Linked DNA regions of Neurospora crassa OR74A. The protein of the gene in region 3 interacts with the protein of the main gene of each other region in a pairwise test. Links are inferred from orthologs where the notes say so. Each region holds a gene or a part of one and is shown on either strand. Other genes may lie near its edges.

Evidence for each region.
Region 1: the proteins of NCU02538 (region 3) and NCU00493 interact in binary tests that used the Saccharomyces cerevisiae proteins (3 or more experiments, as listed by UniProt). The link is inferred for Neurospora crassa OR74A from reciprocal best matches to the Saccharomyces cerevisiae genes RET3 and RET2.
Region 2: the proteins of NCU02538 (region 3) and NCU04404 interact in binary tests that used the Saccharomyces cerevisiae proteins (3 or more experiments, as listed by UniProt). The link is inferred for Neurospora crassa OR74A from reciprocal best matches to the Saccharomyces cerevisiae genes RET3 and SEC26.

The regions. Positions count from the first base shown.
Region 1 is NC_026503.1:4,046,387-4,052,855, forward strand, and holds NCU00493 (coatomer subunit delta), read left to right. Parts: upstream 1-2,337; 5' UTR 2,338-2,617; coding exon 2,618-2,620; intron 2,621-2,676; coding exon 2,677-3,311; intron 3,312-3,366; coding exon 3,367-4,177; intron 4,178-4,239; coding exon 4,240-4,329; 3' UTR 4,330-4,689; downstream 4,690-6,469. Other genes in the region: NCU00492 (hypothetical protein), read right to left, coding at 1-1,289; NCU00494 (hypothetical protein), read left to right, coding at 5,122-5,332, 5,393-5,708, 5,788-6,382, 6,435-6,469. UniProt on the Saccharomyces cerevisiae protein: The coatomer is a cytosolic protein complex that binds to dilysine motifs and reversibly associates with Golgi non-clathrin-coated vesicles, which further mediate biosynthetic protein transport from the ER, via the Golgi up to the trans Golgi network.
Region 2 is NC_026504.1:3,470,805-3,477,187, forward strand, and holds NCU04404 (coatomer beta subunit), read left to right. Parts: upstream 1-1,950; 5' UTR 1,951-2,388; coding exon 2,389-2,690; intron 2,691-2,755; coding exon 2,756-5,178; intron 5,179-5,246; coding exon 5,247-5,395; 3' UTR 5,396-5,750; downstream 5,751-6,383. Other genes in the region: NCU04405 (mago nashi protein), read right to left, coding at 788-928, 991-1,078, 1,141-1,204, 1,264-1,359, 1,443-1,480, 1,548-1,585. UniProt on the Saccharomyces cerevisiae protein: The coatomer is a cytosolic protein complex that binds to dilysine motifs and reversibly associates with Golgi non-clathrin-coated vesicles, which further mediate biosynthetic protein transport from the ER, via the Golgi up to the trans Golgi network.
Region 3 is NC_026501.1:2,661,627-2,668,093, reverse strand, and holds NCU02538 (coatomer zeta subunit), read left to right. Parts: upstream 1-2,873; 5' UTR 2,874-3,046; coding exon 3,047-3,086; intron 3,087-3,166; coding exon 3,167-3,268; intron 3,269-3,352; coding exon 3,353-3,593; intron 3,594-3,666; coding exon 3,667-3,910; 3' UTR 3,911-4,147; coding exon of another isoform or gene 4,148-5,674; 3' UTR 5,675-5,758; downstream 5,759-6,467. Other genes in the region: NCU02539 (cell division control protein 54), read right to left, coding at 1-1,984, 2,048-2,372; NCU11234 (translation initiation protein Sua5), read right to left, coding at 4,148-5,674; pod-6 (polarity-defective 6, variant 1), read right to left, coding at 6,191-6,467. UniProt on the Saccharomyces cerevisiae protein: The coatomer is a cytosolic protein complex that binds to dilysine motifs and reversibly associates with Golgi non-clathrin-coated vesicles, which further mediate biosynthetic protein transport from the ER, via the Golgi up to the trans Golgi network.

The DNA.
Region 1 (6,469 bases), on a different chromosome or scaffold from region 3:
TCTTGATCTTGCTGGCCTTCCTCGTCTCGATGCTCTTGGTCATCAAATTCAGCATCCTGGCCATCCTCATGATCACCATCATTTTCGAGGCCTTCGTTGTCATTGTCATCATAATCTTCAATGTCCTGATCGTCATCCAGATATTCATCCTCCCCGGAGGCATCTGAGTAATCGGGAGAGTAGTCTGCTCCGCTCCAGATGCCTGCCTCCTCGAGCAAGTCCAGGAACCGGCCCTCGGGGTCCGGACGGACCAAAAGATTGAGCGTTAGGGATGTCTCTGTGACGATTCCTTTAGCTAGAAGGACATTGTAGCAGTAAATGATCTGATGAAAGCTGCGCTGCAAAAAGTCTTTACTGGACCTTTCGCCAAAGTTCAAATCAAGTGAGTCAATAACGATGACCAGTTCTTCTCCGGGTGTTAACTCCGAGGCAATGACAGAACGGATAGATGCAAGTAATTCCGACAACGGTGCGGTTGCGATCTCAGTATCGGTAAGAAAGTAGGTCTCAGGATCCATGTCCGAGTTCCCAAAGAGGGCATAACTGCCACCATCATACTGGACTGTAATATCTGTGATGCTGAATGCAGCATCATCAACAATGGCCTCGTCATGGTCAATCTGGCTTTCCTCGAGCTGGCGATCCTCGCTCACGGCCTCGCCCGCTTGTTCAGCTCCCGAGACAGCTGTATCCAGAGGGTTGGTAGCTGCAACACCACCGACGTCCAGACCGACATCGGTCTCGGCAACTTGTTCAGTAGCCTCCTGATCAACAGGGTTCTTTGTCTCGGCCTCACGCCCGATCGGCTGCTCTTCCGCATCGTCGCCCAATTTGGACTCAGCAAGATCAATCTGGACGTCCTGGGCTTCCTGTTCCAATTCACGTAGATCTGGATTCTCGTCATTTGCAGACGGCGCTTTTGATATAGTGGTATCTTCGGGCTCGTGTTCAGTAACAGCCTCTTCTGCAACGCCCTCCTCCTCTTCATAACCTATCTCGTCATTGTATGCCATGGAGACATCCTGAGCATCTTGCTCGACGCCGCCTGCCGCCTCTGCTTGCTCATCGTTGGTATTATGCTGAGCCTCGAGGTCATCGACAGCAAATTCAACATCCGCTGTGGCGGGTTGGGCATCAAGATCGATCGCCTGGTACTCATCTTCCTTGTCATGTAGGTCGTCGAGTTCTAAGACAAGCTCGTCGGCTGGCATGCCGGCATCTAGCATCAAGTCATCGTCAAATACCGCCTTCCCCGCCTCGGCACGAACGTCGAAGCTAACTTGCTCCATGATGATTGGCGGTTGGCGGGTCAATCAAAACACGCGCCACAGACGAGTGAGTTGGATCAAGAACGAAAATTTGGAAAATGACGCAAAACTTCCACGAAGTTTCTAAGAAGGTGCGACGTATTGCCGTTGTCAAGAAATTGTACGTCCAGCAAGCGTCATGAAAGAAGCGAAGACGTAGAAAATTGGTGCACTGGTCAAAACCCCAAGCTTGGCGATGGGTTTCGGTGGATGTCTTGGACTGAAAGGCTGTGACTTCTTCTTGGAAGCGAAGCCGTAGGGCATATAGAGACCACGGGTTCTGGAGTTATGGCTGAGAATGGGCAACCCCGCACTCGACAAAGAACGCCCGACAAACAACGGCGCTTCTGGGGCGCAAAATGAAACGGTGAAGGGATGTGAGGCGACACGTGGACTGGCGGAATCCGACAACACGATTTAACCGCTGTTAAGAGTTCTGGGGCGGATGTTCTGGGCAAAAGTGCACATCGAATCGAGGTATGGAATGCTGAAACGCGGCAGGCAGATAATCGGGATGCCTCACTTTCACGGAGCGGCGGAGCTGGGAGGTGGGTGAAGTGCAACGGAGTCGAGTAAGCTCTTGATGACGAGGCGTGTCACAAAGGTAGCGTAGGTATTTGATGATCCGTAATCGAGACTCGTATTGGCTGGGCAATGCTTTGACGCGATTGAGAAACAAGTTTCTCGATGGCGGATGGTTTTTCGAGGTAGGCGATGGTTTGGATGGAAATGGAAATCGTGAAATTTCGACACACGGGGCCGTCTGTTGTGCGTGTTGAAGAAAGAGGTGCAGTTGTTGGTTTTGCCGCAGTGTGTGGACAACGGTGAAATTCGCAGAATTGATCATAGGAAGGAAACTGAACCTAAGCAAGTGCCGCATGGAGTTTAGCGGGCCCTGTGGGTGCCTAGAGGTACCTACCTACTGTACTTGTATCTATGGTGTGCCCCTGGATTTCTTTTGCCAGCTGGCAGCCCCTCGTCGGCCGGCCAGGACGCTGCCACCGTGTACGCAGTAGGTTGCCCTGGCCCGCCTGAACCCGACTGCCCTGACGCTGCAGTGAAGCTGCCGTCCAGGTACCTCTACCTATCGCTGCCCGCTGGGTCCCTCCAGATGGCACCTTCAGTTCAATTGGACCTGACCGACAGCACACCTCAGCACGGCAACGGAAAGACCACATCAACCTTCCCGTCCACGACAACTTTCAGGAGGTGAAGCTCACGACTTACCTCCAACGCATCCCAAAGCTCCCTGCACTACCACGAAGCGCCCTTCGAGTCAGTAGTCGTGGTTGTTGTTTACTGCTGTCAAAATGGTAACTCATCCATCCCTGTCTCCTGGTGGGAAGAAGCGATTGACGGAACATGTCAGGTTGTCCTCGCTGCCTCCATCTGCACCCGCGGCGGCAAGGCCGTCTTAGCCCGCGCCTTCAACGACATCAAGCGCTCCCGCATCGAAGCTCTCCTCGCCTCGTTCCCCAAGGCCGCCGACTCGGGTACTCAGCACACCATTGTCGAGCAAGACAATGTCCGATTCGTCTACCAGCCCCTGGACGAGCTGTACATGGTCCTCATCACCAACAAGCAGTCCAACATCCTTCAGGACATCGACTCGCTCCACCTTTTTGCCCAGGTTGTCACCAGCACCTGCAAGAGCCTTGACGAGCGCGAAATCCTCCGAAATGCCTACGAACTGCTCAGCGCCTTCGATGAGCTGGTGACTCTCGGTTACCGGGAGAACCTCACCATCAGCCAGATCAAGACCTTCCTCGAGATGGAAAGCCACGAGGAGCGCATTCAGGAAATCATTGCCCGCAACAAGGAGCTGGAGGCCACCGAAGAGCGCAAGAGGAAAGCCAAGCAGTTGGAGATGCAGCGCAAGGAGTCGGCCAGAACTGGTCGGTCCGCGGTACCCCGGACGCCGGTATATCCCACATACACCCCGCCGGTGCGACCTGCTGTCACCGAGTCCTATGATACGTACGAAGCCGAGAAGAACAAGGTCAAGTATGTGTTAGTCCCTCTTCTTTTCAGGCTGGCCTGCAAGCTCACATTCTTCTAGGTTCAATGCGCCAAAGGGCAAAGGTATGCAGTTGGGCAAGAAGTCCAAGAATACGGATATTTTCGAGCGCGTGAAGGGGGATCTTGGACACGAGGCCGAGGAAGCGCCCCTTGTTCCGGTAGCCGCGCCGGCAGCTGCCGCAGAGCCTGCTGCTTCCAGAGTCTCTTCGACACTCGACAGGGATGCTATTCACGTCCTTATCAACGAGGCAATCAGTGCCAAGCTGTCGAGAGATGGTGCCCTCGAATCCCTCTCGGTCAGCGGTGACCTCCAGCTTCGCGTCTCCGACCCATCGCTTTCAAGGATCAAGCTCAACCTCAGCGCCACACCCACCCACGGCGCCCAGTTCCGCACTCACCCGAACGTCGATAAGAATGTCTTCAATAGCTCCCAGGCTATCCAGTTGTCTCAAATCACAAAGGGTTTCCCCCTTAACAACTCTGTCGGAGTTCTAAGGTGGCGGGCCAGTCCCAGAGTCGACGACACCAGCGCACTACCAATCAGCTTCACCGTTTGGGTCAACAAGGGCTCGGATGGCAACAGCACATTGACGGTCGAGTACGAGCTCACTGGCGGAGATACCCTCAAGGACGTTACTGTCGTCATCCCCTACACGAGCGCAGAGCCTCAGGTGTCTAGCTTCGACGCTGTGTATGAGGTGTCTGGTGACAGTCTAGAGTGGTCGATAGGCACCGTAAGCGAGGAGAACGCCAGCGGATCATTCGAGTTTGAGGCGCAGACCGATGACGAGAACGAGTTCTTCCCGATGCAAGTACGGTTCTCCAAGTCGTGGCCGTTCGTGGAGGTTGATGTAAGATGTCGCCCCCTCATGTCAGAAAAACGGGTAAAGACGGAACAACTGACACATTCTAGGTTCAATCTGTTGAGCTGGTGGATGAAGGTGAAGAGGTTTCGTTTTCCAAGGACATCAGATCGGTGGCCGACAAGTTCCTCATTGAGTAGGGTTTGTTGTCATTGTTTTGAGCAGAACCAAAAAAGGGCGACCGTAGCATGCCGGCCAGGCGTCTCGATCATCATCTTCCACACCAGAATTAGAGTAATGTATGGGAAGCAACCGAGTTGTCCAACTCCCTTTATAATGAATACTGTTGTACATGGTCCGCGCCAGTGGGTGCTCGAGCTGTCATTCCTTTTCTTCCGTTGATACCCAAGGTCATACTTGACTTTTTGAACAAGAGGTTTTTGACGCTCCCGGGATCCTTGAAAGTAACATGTAAGCTACGAGCCCTACGCATTTTTAAGGGGATGGATACCCTCATGATCCAGTACCATATAGAAAGAAGCCTATCTACGCAAAGAGCTATCCAACTCAATCATCGCTGTTGTAAGCACAGAGTATGGTAATTGATGTCGATGTGTGTAGTTCGCTAGGTAAGCTTGTAAAGGTCATACCTACACAGTACGGATGCCCCTGCACAGTATTTCTATTACTGTGGCAACTGCTCTATCTGCACTGTGTTTTGAATCAACAGGCAGGACGAGACCACACGACTGAATCGCAGAACAGCAGCAACAACAACAACAACATCACGCCGAGGCAAGTGAAGCTGTAGGTCTAGCAAACCAAAACCGAAATCCCCCAAACATACAAACCGACTTGCCAAGTTATGGACTTGCGCGTGTCATTCAAATCAAAATCTTGCGTCCCGGAGTTGAAGGCTGGAACCACTTAGCCGCTGCTTTCCACGTCCAAATAACATCATCCAACTGAAAGTCACCAACGGATCCTACAAAATGTCCCCAAATGGGCAGCTTCAGCTATTCAGTTCAAGCGCCTTGAGTGTGCCAGTCTCAGGCAAGCAAATCGTATGCAATCCCGTGATCGACTTGACAGCCACGGTCGGCGACGGTAACACGATCTATGTCTGGCGTGGCAGCAATCAGTTGGTCTCGAAGCATACAGAACGAAACCAGAAGGTTGATGCAATCAAGTGGAAAGAGGATGGTAAGTGAAGATCTTCCGATGGCTGTTGAGGGAAACCACTGTCTTACAGGGAATTCGCAGGCCAATTCTTAGCTGCCGGCTGGAGTGACGGCGTGGTGAGGTTGATCGGCTTGGAAAGCAACAAAGCCGTGCATCACATCCGCGTGGCAGGTCATGGTGGAAAGCCTTCTAAGATTGAGTTCATCGCCTGGGCCAAAAACGAAACTGGTAGGAAGTCGCGTGCCAGGAAGCATAATGACCTCCCCGACTTGCCGTGGCGGGATCTCATGCTCGATGAGAAGAAGCATGTTCTGGACCTCCCTCATGAGTTGACTTTTCTGGAAATCGAGACTGCTCTCCCCAAAATTAGTCCTCTTCCTTTGTCGGGAGGCATCGGGTATGTGTACAGGACCCATGAGCTTGCAGTGCCGGGAGACAAACCTAAAAAAGTGATGGTGTAACTGACATGGCTATAGGGACGATATGTTTGTTTTCTCTACCGCGGCATCACTCGAGTTCGTGTTCCGCCCTTACCAGCCCGAGGACTCGGACAATGTACATGTCATGATCACCGGCACAGCCGACGGAGGCATTCATCTCAGCATCTACGATTCATTTGTCATTGGAACCTTTCAACATGTACCGCATACGGCCAGAGGACCCGCCTCAAACGAGGGTCCTTTCCAGCTTTGCGGTCATAGTTCCCATCATAAAGTGCCTACTCACGCACTCCTCCTAAGACCCAAGGAGGGTAGTCCGACATCCCTTTTTCTTGTTCCGATGGACCTCACTTTTGTACACAAATCGCCTATCAACCTGTCTTTGTTGGCGTCGAACACGACAACACTTCAGAATCTCCTTCGGTATCTGAAGCAGGCACAGTCACACATGGTTAGTGAGTGGAAATCGACAAGAGAGCTTCCTGGGCGTTTTCTACGTGGTGTTCAAGAGGACCTAGAGAGGAGTCCCAAGGGGCCGGTGACCATAGTCCAGGCATTGTATCACACAGTTGCAACAGGACATGTGTTTCCTCTGGTGAAGGAGTGGCTTGTCGACAGCCTAGCCGAGAGAGTAAGTTGAGTAGGGAGATGTGAAGAGTGCCATAGGACTGACAAGTATTTAGGGACACAAGCGTTGGGATAAAGCAGTTGTAAGCGG
Region 2 (6,383 bases), on a different chromosome or scaffold from region 3:
CTTCACGTCAGTAGCCCCACCGAGGTAACTTCCACTTCCATCTCGAGTGACCCTTCCCGATCCGTCGCACATGCCAGGAACGTCGACGACGAAGGGCTCCAGGATGGACCGAGTTTCACGAAGCATTTTGTACTACTTGGATTTACCATAAACTGAAGCCATTTCGCATTGGATGTGTCTCGGAAGGAAAGTCTACCCCGCGTTACTCGTCAAGCGAAAAGTTACACAGCATAACCGGTCTACCGCCAATAAGAGCCAAAAGTCGGAGAGTTGGATCGATTAACTTCTTACTTTGACATGTGCGGACCTTGTTACTGCTTTAAAGTTGGTAGCCCAACCTTTTGTCACTTGATCAATCGTGATTCAAGACCAGCCATGGCAGGTCTCTCTTCACATAGAGGTACGAATCGAATTTGTTGTACGAATCGTACAGCGGCATGCTTTTGGTGTGCTTCGTAATGAGATGTCGGTGTTCCATCACTCGGTCTCCGCCTGGCAACTGCATCGGATATCTTGCCTCACACTGCTTGGTTGGTCATCATCAATAGCTGACACAAACAGCCATGACGACTCTTAGGTTCGGGGGCCAGTGGGGCGATTGGTCGATAATGTATACGATTGTGCCAGTCCCGAAGTTATCCATGTTAAATCCAGTTTCAAGAAACCCATCTGCGCCGCCAATAGATAGAAAAGAACGCCTTTATAAAACGCCGCATTATCCCACAAAATCTCTCCTTTCCATGAGTAAGGATATATCAAACTCGGGGTATTCGTTCGTGTCGGAAGATTAAATGGGCTTGATCTTGAAGTGCAAGGCAATGAGACTGAACACCAGCGCCTTGAGGTCCTGAACGAGGTAGTAGAAGACGCGCAAGCCTTCTGGGTCGGCCGAGTCCGTAACATCGTTGATCGATCCGATCTTGGCAGTCTATTTCCTGTATTAGCTCTGAACATTTTGCAGAAATAGATTCCGACACTGGCAAGACGCACCTCGAATGAAATGTGGTCGTTCCCGAGGCGGATCTCCAACTCCTGCTTTCCGTCTTTGTTTTTGGTCGGCCATTTCTCGTCGTCTTCCCTGTTGGCCTGTCAGCAGCCGCTCCATGTTGTTTGTATAAAAGGGTGAACATGATGTCGTACTTCATAATCTCGCTGTCCTTGATGATGCGCTTGATCTCGTCAATGACCAGAGAGCTGACGCACACTAAAAGAGACCCTCGTCAGTATATGGATGTCCACGGCCGGCTAAACAGTGTTTCCTACTCTCTTTCCTGATCAGACTGTCGTTACGGTAGTTGGAGTTGTTGGCATATCGGGCAGTGGCGCTACGTCCGTCGCCGAGGACGCGAAAGTCGAACTCTGTAGTCAAAGGGCGGTAGTTTAGCATCGTGGTCGTGGAAACGTGGGAGCTTGCGTCTCGAGGCGCAAATGGCTGAACACACCTAGGAACTCGTGGCCGAAGCGGCCCGAGTGGCCAGAGCTAAGCCGGCTGTTAGCATGGTGTTTTCAATGTGTGAGTGAATCGAATCCCGTAGGGGTGTACATACTAGTAGCGCAGATAGAAGGGTTCGTTGGCGGCTGACATGGCTGTTTGTTGCTTCTGTCAGTAGTAGGCTTTGCAAGACAAGAGGCAGAGATGCAGCCAGCGGCTTGGTTCCTGTCGCTTTTGGATGGACAACCTTGAAAGTCGCGCCCGCGCGGCCACGCTCCAGTGACATTGGCGGGGCACACGGCCCCACACTTGACCCCAGCTTGGCCCAGGGGCATTGTTTGGGCTCCAAGCTGACTCCGGGTTCACGAGCCTTCCTGACAGCTGGCAATCCGTATCTACACGTGATCCTTCGACTGTTTGGACAAGCTGGCAGATGGCAGACTCGGCCAGGAGATGGAGGCTTGGTGAGGCCGTAAGGGTGTCGGGGGGTCCGTGCTTCGCCGTGTGCTGTTGCGGCCGGCCAGAATGCCACATCTCCCAGGGGCCGTCTCTCGATAGAATTGACCGTCCTATCCACGCTGGCTCTTCCAGACTTCAACAACAAGCACAGGTGATGCTCCGCTCTCTCACCTCGCCGGCGCACTCCAGACAACCCTTTCATTGCGCAGCCGTCTCTTGATTTTCGGCCAACCACGACCCTGTCAGTCCAGGGGGAGGAAACCACATCCAGCACCAAGGCCAGCTCATCGTCACTCTTCAGGAGCTCGAGGCAGCCACTCAGTCCATCCATTTACTAGCACCACGCAACCTACAACGGGGCAAACAACACCTTACCACACCCGCCCCTCTCTAATTTCGATCCGCGACTCCTCTTCAGGACGCCCGGCCAGCTACTTTCTACCAAATTCAATCTCAACTTTAATCAAAGACGGCCCGGCCGCCGCCAGCTCTCCAACATGTCGTTCCTCGAAAATGCCTACAGCTTGGTCAAGGACAATGCCGTCGACGGCACCCCAACCGTGCAGGAGCTCAAGACGCAGCTCGAAAAGGGCACCGACGAGACCAAGATCGAGACCATGAAGCGCATTCTTACCATCATGCTCAATGGCGATCCCATGCCCCAATTGCTCATGCACATTATCCGATTCGTAATGCCTTCTAAATCCAAGCCCCTGAAGAAGCTTCTATACTTCTACTATGAGATCTGCCCCAAGCTTGATGCCCAAGGGAAGCTCAAGCAGGAGTTCATCCTAGTATGGTAAGGCATTCCGTGTCCGTCTGGGCATGCTGGCCCCTCCAAGCTGACCAGCCATTGCCTCGCAGTAACGGCATCCGAAACGACTTGCAACACCCGAACGAGTACATCCGAGGCAACACGCTGCGCTTCCTGTGCAAGCTGCGGGAGGCCGAACTTCTCGAGCCTTTGCTCTCCTCAGCCCGGGGCTGTCTCGAACATCGCCATGCCTATGTCCGAAAGAACGCCGTCTTTGCTGTCGCTTCCATTTACCAGCACTCCCCGTCGCTTATTCCCGATGCTGCGGACTTGATCTCCACGTTCCTCGAAGGCGAAAGCGACCCAACCTGCAAGCGGAATGGCTTCGCCGCCCTTGCCAGCATCGACCACGACAAGGCTCTTCTCTATCTCAGCACCGTCTTTGACGGTATTCCCAACGCAGATGAGCTTTTGCAGTTGGCCGAGTTGGAGTTCATCAGGAAAGATGCTGTTGTCAACACCCAGAACAAGGCGCGCTACCTCCGTCTTATTTTTGACCTTTTGGAAGCTAGTGCCTCGACCGTTATCTACGAAGCGGCCTCGTCGTTGACGGCCCTCACCAACAACCCTGTCGCTGTCAAGGCTGCTGCCAGCAAGTTCATTGAGCTTGCGATCAAGGAGGCGGATAACAATGTCAAGCTTATCGTTCTGGACCGTGTCGATCAACTCCGCCAAAAGAACCCCGGCGTCCTGGACGACCTGACCATGGAGGTGTTGCGCGTTCTCTCTAGCACGGATATCGATGTGCGGAGGAAGGGTCTCGAGATCGCTTTGGAGATGGTCTCCAGCAAGAACGTGGAGGAAGTCGTGCTTTTGCTCAAGAAGGAGCTGTCCAAGACGGTTGACCAGGAGTACGAGAAGAACAACGAGTACCGCCAGCTTCTTATCCACTCCATCCATCAATGCGCTATCAAGTTCTCCGAAGTCGCCGCTAGCGTCGTCGGCTTGCTCATGGACTTTATTGCCGATTTCAACAACAACTCCGCCGTTGATGTTATTAACTTTGTCAAGGAGGTCGTCGAGAAGTTCCCTCAGCTCAGGCCAGCAATCATTGCGAGACTGGTAGATACCCTGAGTGAAGTCCGCGCTGGTAAGATCTACCGCGGTATTCTCTGGATTATCGGCGAGTACTCGCTTGAGGAGAAGGATATCAGGGACGCATGGAAGAGAATTCGGGCAAGCCTGGGTGAGATCCCGATCTTGGCATCCGAGCAACGGTTGCTGGATAATGTTGATGGTGATGCCGAGGAGAAGGAGAAGGAGCAGGTCAATGGCTCAAGGGCAGCGCCGACTGGCTCACGCAAGGTCCTTGCTGACGGCACATACGCTACCGAGACTGCCCTTACCAGCCAGTCTACAGCTGCTGCACGCCTGGAGGCTGTCAAGGCTTCGTCGAAGCCCCCTCTCAGGCAACTTATCCTTGACGGCGATTACTACCTTGCCACTGTTCTCGCATCGACCCTTACCAAGCTTGTCATGCGTCATGCCGAGATCTCCTCGGAAGAGGCTCGCACGAACGCCCTCCGCGCTGAGGCTATGCTCATCATGATCTCCGTCATTCGTGTTGGTCAGTCGCAGTTCGTCAAGGCCCCTATTGATGAAGATTCGGTGGATCGTATCATGAGCTGTGTGCGCTCCCTTGCCGAGTTCACCGCGCACAAGGAGTTGGAGACCGTTTATCTCGAGGATACCAGGAAGGCGTTCAGGGCGATGGTCCAGGTTGAGGAGAAGAAGCGCGCAGCAAAAGAGGCCCACCAAAAGGCAAAGACGGCCACCCAGGTGGACGATGTTTATCAAATCCGCCAGCTTTCCAAGAAGAATGCCACTGATGGGGCTGATGCTTTCGATGCCGATCTCGAGCGTGCCACTGGTGGAGACAACAGCTCGGCTGAGGACCTATCTGGCAAGCTTAGCCGCGTTGTCCAGCTCACCGGTTTCTCCGACCCTGTTTATGCTGAGGCCTATGTCAAGGTCCACCAGTTCGACATTGTACTAGACGTACTACTCGTCAACCAAACAACTGAGACCCTCCAGAACCTTACCGTCGAGTTCGCAACTCTCGGTGACCTCAAGGTTGTGGAGAAGCCGACAAGCCAGAATCTGGGACCCCACGACTTCCACAACGTTCAGTGCACCATCAAGGTCTCCTCCACAGATACTGGTGTCATCTTTGGCAACGTCGTGTATGAGGGTGCTCACTCCACTGATACCCACGTGGTCATCCTGAACGACTTGCACGTCGACATCATGGATTACATCCAACCGGCAACTTGCACTGAGACCCAGTTCCGCACCATGTGGACCGAGTTTGAGTGGGAGAACAAGGTCAACATCAACAGCAAGGCGAAGAGCCTACGTGAGTTCCTGGACCTGCTTATGGCGTCCACAAATATGAACTGCTTGACACCAGAGGCCAGTCTTAAGGGTGATTGCCAGTTCTTGAGCGCCAACCTTTACGCAAGAAGCGTTTTCGGTAAGTTTTCTCGTCATTCGCATAGCACTTTCGGAAATAGCATCGCTAACTTCCCTTCTCTTATTCAGGCGAGGACGCTCTAGCAAACTTGAGCATCGAAAAGGAAGGTGAAGACGGACCCATTACTGGTTTCTTGAGGATACGCAGCAGATCGCAAGGGTTGGCCCTCAGTCTTGGCTCCCTCAAGGCATTGAACAAGATTGGTTCTGCCGCTTGAACAGATTTTCTCTCCGGCTAGATGAGATGAAAAAGATGATGTATGGGGTGATTGGGAGGGTTGTATAGCGATTAATTCATCACTTGATATTCTTTTCACCGTTGTGGTTTGTTTCAGTTGTTGTTATCATAGTCTTTGTTACATTTCCACTAGTTGATGCTTGTGAGAGATTCGGATGAGACTCATGTCACTCTCTTTTGTATGCTTCGATTAATGGCTGAAATGTAAAGGGTTTTCGACATATAGTGTGATGGATGAGGAAGACAAAAGCAGAGGATGAACCCAGAAGCAGGATGAATTATCCAGATGGAAAAATCAGATATAGACACAAAATCAATCCTTGACAGAAAACCAGCCAGGTGTGATTAATGCCATCCTCAGTCATCAGTCAGTGGATCTCTTAGACAAGCTCAAACAGACACGCGCATTATTCTCATTCATATATAGTCACCCATAACTTCGTCCACCATCCCTTCCATCACTCATTTCCTCCTTCCACTGCGGTCTCTTATCCATTCCTTTCTCCACGGCATGATTATGCCATACGACCCTTCCCCCACCCAGAGCACAAACTTGGGTACAAAAGTAAAGATTAAACAGTAGTAAAAGTAAAAAGTAGAAAGTAATTGCTCGGCGATATGCTGTCTGCCTAATTGCACATTATGAAAAAAAAAAAAAAAAAAAAAATTATTGGTACGTAGGTAGGCGAAGAAAGGAAAAGGGGTATAAGTAAGGTATCGTATGCGGTGTATGACGTGGATTTTGTTTCCGCCATTAACCATGACATATGAAAAAAGTAAGTCTTTGAAGATGTCCTCCCAGGTGTCTTGTTAATGAAACAAAATAGGGAAATGGTATCATATTCGTTCTTAAAAGGAAGGTTGAAGTGATGAATAGGTATTATCAAATGTGATATGATGTAGACGGGGTGGTGCCCGGAACGCGACCCTTCTCGTTGAAACGGGGCCGGTTTATTTGTGTGGTTGAA
Region 3 (6,467 bases):
TCAATATTTTGCGGCACTGATAGATCAGGGTTGTATCTACTACCAATGGGGTTGGCAGACGCCAGGATTGATGTTCGGGCATTGAGAGTGGTGATGATGCCGGCCTTGGCGACGGACACGGTCTGTTGTTCCATGACTTCGTGAAGAACGGAGCGGGTCGATTCGTTCATCTTGTCGAACTCGTCGATACAACAGACACCGCCGTCGGATAAGACGAGAGCACCGGACTCTAGAACGAGTTGGCGGGACTCGGGATCGCGGGTAACATAGGCGGTAAGACCTACGGCAGAAGAACCTTTACCACTCGTGTACACACCTCTTGGGGCGATTCTGTGAACATAGGAGAGAAGCTGGGACTTGGAAGTGGATGGGTCACCACAGAGGAGAACGTTGATGTCTCCACGGTATTTGGGGCTTCCACCCTTCTCAAAGGTCTTGTTCGTGCCTCCGAACAGTTGAAGAAGAATACCCTTCTTCACATCATCCATCTCGTAAATTGATGGAGCCAAAGAACGTGAAAGGAGATCGTAGATATCCGGTCGAGCGGCAGTTTCCTTGATCCTCTCTTCCTCATCAGGAGAGACCTTTCGGACTTCGTCCATGCTCTGGCCATTAGCATGGGCTTCCTCCTCCTCGGCAAGGTCGAGGGTCGAGGGATCAGAACCCATCCTCTTGCGGTCGACCTTTTGTACATGGACAACATCAACATATGTCTTGTGCACGCTCTTGACCGTCCTCATGCGCGGGTTGACACGAACGGGGGTGACTTTAAAGATACCAGTGAGCTCAACTCTGTCACCGGCCTTGCAAAAGTCCACAAGCTCGTTATAGACGCAAACGGATACCGAGTGGGGTGTCTGACCAGCAGGCACGTTATCCGGAGTTTCTTGCAGCTTGATGACTTGCTTGTCTTCGAAAGCACATCTGTTGTGGATGATCTGCATTGAGTTCTTGGAGGCGCAGCGAGCCCGAGGACACTCTGTAGGCTCACGAATCTTGCCACGATCTAACTGAACGGTTATAGAATGACCACAAACACTGCACTTGAAAAATGCATCCTTCATGTCGGGGATGACCGGCGTGGTTCTGATGACAAGACCCTTGATGGACACAAGCTTGTCCATGTCAGATGGGTTGAGGTCACGGAGGTTGGTGATCTTGTCAAGACCCCACGGGCGAACCACATACGCCATCTGGCTGACTTGGTCCTCAATTGTGGGCGCCGCTGTTTGGGCAGGCCGCGGGGTGGGCGGTTCCTCGCTCCTTTCAGAGCTTGGGAAGTTCGGCTCCGAGCTTTGTGAGGCACCTGGAGCGGTCCTAGAGTTTTGGGATGCTCTTTGGCTGGCCATTTCCTTTTGCGCCAACTCCATCATACAGTCATGTACGCATTGATCCATGACCGGGATGATTTCGGTAGGATAGTGTTGGGCCTGATGCCATAACTTCAAGGTGCGCGGGTAGGACTTGAGGTCGCGGAGATCCAGATACAGCTTGTTGGTACCAAGCAGCAGCATATTCTCCAGTGCCTCCCAATATGGCTTCGAATCCGCATCCGGATGGCCAATAGTCTCGGCCTCGTCCGCGCCATCTGCCCACATCCGGTATTTCCTGGTGAAGTTCCTGAGAAAGTCCTTGAACGCGGAGAACGAATCGTCAAGAGAAATTGTTGTACCCCAAACAAGACCTTGGCTTTGTCCACCAAGGGCATCTGCCTCAGAGGTATTGGGGTTATTGGTGACAAACGAGTTGGCATCGGAGCCAGGGGCATCGCGGATCACACGACCGGCGTCGTCGAGGATGATTCGGCGGGGAATCTGGGCGGGAGTACGAAGAGGGTCCCCGTTGATGTCGCCTCGACGGGATCGACCGGCAACGGACCTTTGCGAGCTGACGAAGAGCTGACTGCTTTCGCTACGAAGATCGGACTGTTGAGTAAGCTGACGGCCCGGGCTAGAACTGGAGGCATAGCGGATGGGAGAGGAGTCTGCGGAGTGTGGTCAGCATTCAGTGTAGTCCTTTTTTTTTTTTTTTTGGTTGACAGCCATACCCCCAATTAACTGGCTCCGTCCGTTTGCGCGAGGAGTTCGGTCAGCATCGCTCTGGGTCTCTGTCTGCTGGCGCAAAGGCGAGCTCGGCGCATTGCCTTGGTGGGCAGTGCTCTGGGTATTGCTCATCTGCCTCAAGGGAGAAGATACCGGGGCGGCGCCATTGGCAGGCGAGGAGGGCTCGTAGAATAAGGGACTAGAGGCAAGCTGTGATGCGCGTGTCTGGCGAGGAGTTGCGCTCGAAGGACCAGCCTGCGAGCTGCGAGTAGTGCGGGGAGTAGCTGATTGGGAGCTTCTCGTTGTTCTGCGCTTTGCTGGGGAAGACATGTTTACTACTCTGTCCTCGGTGGTTTTGTTGAGATAATACAAAGTATGGAAACTAAACCAACAAGAAGGGACAGAAGACGGGCAGGTTGGGATGGAGACGCTGGAGTGTTGTTGTGGCGGCTCCCGATCCCTCTGTAATTGCGAGGTGGTTGGCAGGTCGGCAGCGTGTTCAGGACGGGCAAGGTGGATCACGTTCCTATCGAAAAAAAAGACAGTCGCGACACACGCGTCTCTGATAAAAGCACTTTACACGGCCGTTCGTGTCTGCGGGGGCTTACTCGCGTTGACCCATTAAAACCCCTGTCATACCCAAATGAGACGGACGAGGCCACTGCAGTGCTGCTCTTGAGTGCGAACTGTCAGGTACGTAAGGTACGTACCGCGCCGTGGGGCCTCGCTTGGAGTGTTCGCTCTGGATTCAAGCCACATCACAGGGACCGCTTCACCCCACAATACCCACGCTCACCACGGTAACCAACGATACCGCCTGCCCCTGGTCATTGTGAGCACTACCTACCTACGCAGCACCTCTGGAGTTCAAGCTAACCACTATATACCTACCCACTTGCGCCCATTGAAGTCGAGTTGCCCCTCGTCGCCGACCTTCTCCAACCGATACCAGTCTCGAGACAGCAATTGATCAAGAAACAAGAACCCCCAGATAACCAGTCAAGATGTCGCCAGGAATGTCGCTGTATAGCGTCAACGCTATAGGTACACTAGGCACCACGCTGCTCCTGGGTCCTGGCTTATACGCGCCACGTCGAGCAATGTTGACAATTGCGTTCCAACAGTAATCCTCTCCAGCGATGACGGTTCGCGGATATTCTCAAAATACTACACTCCTCCTCACGCTGCCGCTGGCGCACCAGGAACAGGAGTGGCCGCCGGACTCGGTACGCAATAGACGCTCCTTTTACCCCTTATTCGGTGTCGCATGTTCCCGTAAGGCTGACCAGCCCGAACCTTGTGCACAACAGCTTCCTCGAGCGCTTCCCAGAACCCCTATCCCGACAAGACTTCTCAAACCCGTTTCGAGAAGGGCCTCCTTCAGAAGACAGCTAAGCAGACGGGCGATATCCTCCTCTACGACAACAAGGTGGTGCTTTACAAGATGGAGTCGGACGTTGCTATCTACGTCGTTGGTAGCGCGGACGAGAACGAAGTTCTGCTCTACAACGTACTTTTGGCGCTTAGGGACAGCTTGCATATGCTCTTCAAGTGAGTATTTATGGCGAACGTGAAGGTGCCGGTCATGGGACATGATTTGGCTAACCACGGACTTTCTACTCAGGCAATCGATCGACAAGCGCACGATAGTCGAAAACTACGATCTGGTATCCCTCGCTATCGACGAAATCGTGGATGACGGCGTTGTTCTCGAGACCGATCCCACCATCATCATTCAACGATGCAGCAAGGCGCCGCCTGCCGATGTCAACCTCAGCCGCCTCGACCCCTTCACCGAGCAGGGTGTCAACAACTTGGCACAACTAGGCAAGGCTAAGCTTACTGACTGGCTTCGTCAGGGTCTCTAAGGGCATGTGCGGGTGGGTAATGACAAGGGAAGGAGTGTGGCGGATGGGAGCAACCAAGGTAAAGTTGGCGCATTGGTTCGTAAAAAGGTATCAGGCCCTTTTGTTTGGCGAGCCTTTTTATGGCAGAGTAATGAGCCAAAGGCGAAGCAAAAAGACACGAAAAGCCAACAAGTGATGGGTTAGCAGAAAACAGGAGTTATAGTCTTTTCCCTTGCGATCTATAGGGTTTGACCCCGTCTATATTCTAATGTCGGAAGCGGCTTTCCTCAGCCTGTTCATGACCGCCGCCGCGATATCGTCTCCATCACTCACACCCTCTACGAATATTACATCCGCGCCGCGCCTGTCCAGCTCTCGGAGGGCAGCGAAAAGGCCATGTGCCACCCCCTTGACATCGTTGCCCAGATCAATCTCCAGAAGCCTTGCCAACACCGTGGTGCCGTCCTCATCCAGCCATTGCCCTTCCCTGACAGCGAACCCAGTCTCGGCCACGTCCCCGCTGTCCTTCGCAGCAACATCATCAAGCCCCTGACTCCTCAACCCCCCGGCAACAGGCCATCTCCCCGTCCTAATAACCGCAACACTCTTCACGTTTCCCTTGCCCTCCTCCTCCCCAGCCGCTTCAACCGCCTCCCTCACATCCGCCTTCGGTACCTCCCTCCTCCCTCCCTCCGCCTCATACAACACCACCCTCGCCTTCGGGCTATAATGCTTATACTTCATCCCCGGCGCTCTCGGCGCCGTCTTTCCTCCGACCTCTGCCTGATCCTTATACGCCTTCTCCACGCCTTCCCACCCCTTACACTCCCTAATCTCCTCCAAGCTGACCCCGCCCGGCCTCAGCACCACAGGCGGCGAGCAAAGCCCGTCGACGACCGTGCTTTCCACCCCTACGCTGCATGATCCTCCATCCAAGATCAGTGCGATGCGACCCCGTAGATCGTCTAACACGTGTTGTGCGGCGGTGGGGCTGGGTTTAGTGCTGGCGTTCGCAGAGGGCGCGGCGAGGGGGGCGTTGGCGAGTTTGATCAGCGAGCGAGCCAGCGCCGAGGCGGGCATTCGGCACCCGAATGTGGGTAGGCCGGCGGTTACTTCCGGAGCGAGGAGGGAGGGGGAGGGGTTGGGTAGCAGGATGGTGAGGGGGCCGGGCCAGAAGCGGGTTATGAGGGGGTGATAGATGGCTGGGATGGGGTCTTCTTCGTCTCCTGCTGAGGAGAAGGAGGGAGAGATGAATGACCGTAACATGCTCAAATCGCAAACGTGCACGATCAAAGGATTATCGCTTGGTCGACCTTTGGCGGCATAGATTCCCTTGACGGCAGCGCTGCGGGTGGCATCGGCGCCTAGGCCGTAGACGGTTTCCGTGGGGAAGGCGACAGGAATGTCGGTGGTGCGGAGGTGGTGGGCTGCTTCGCGGATGGGAGACAGTATATTCTCATTTTCTGATGTAGTTGGGACCTCCCATGTGTTGAGATTGCTAGTTTTCGTTTTGCTTCCATCTTTGTGTTCTGCTGACTCCTCCTTCCAGTGGCCGAGCACTTGGATGTTGCTGTCGTCCACCTTCACTTTGAGAATCCGGGTTTCCATTGTCGTCGAAGTTGTCATAGCGGGTGCCATCAATGGCACTGCCGTAGATTTTGGTCTAGTTATGTCTGTGGTTATAGTGTGGTGGTGTCGATTGAGGATTGGGGTGAGTTGTGGGAGGTGCAAGCGTTTGAATCGGGTAGTGAGAGTTAGAATATTGGCGCAAATAGTTCCCTTCATTCAGGGGATTCGACGATTTCGAGAGATGGATTGAAAACCCAGAGTCTGTCGATTATCTTGGCGATTTTAGGCAACGGATATCTTGTGAGGCATCGGTTGTGTTAGACAACAAGTCTCGAACTTGGTGGTGGTGGTCAAGCTCAGGGTTTGGCTCCCTTTGAGTCACTGTGGAGAAATTTTTCTCTTTTATCCGTCTCAACTTGAACCCAAAACCAGTTTACGCCCTATTCTAGGCTGCTCATCTTACAATCACCACCACAACAAAACTTAACTACAACACATGTTGAGCATGGACGGCCTCTTCAATCTTGCTGAACTATGGATAGTAATTCATCTACCAACACATATTGTGATTCGTGAATTGTTTGTATGATACCGCTTATCTATACCTGACCCTAGATCCATGCTACACCATATACCCCTGGACCTCAGTAAGCACACCAAATACACACATTAAACAATTACTTCAGTGTGGTTCTGAGACAAATAACATCCCGTTACAAGACCCTACCTCCCTCAGACACTCGTGTCCACCTCACTTCCCCTCCTCCCCTGCCTGACCGGAAGCGTATTCACATGCGCATTCGCAAACCCCAAGTGCTCCGAGAAGCTAGCCAACAATCTCATCACATCATCCCTCACCTCCTCTCGATTCGCCATGCCCTGCATCACCCTGACTCTCGGCGGCTCCGGAACATGAGGCATGTGCATCATATCTGTCGAACCCTGGCTATTGCTGTGGCCATGACCATGACCATGATATTGACCATGACCATGACCATGATGCACCTGG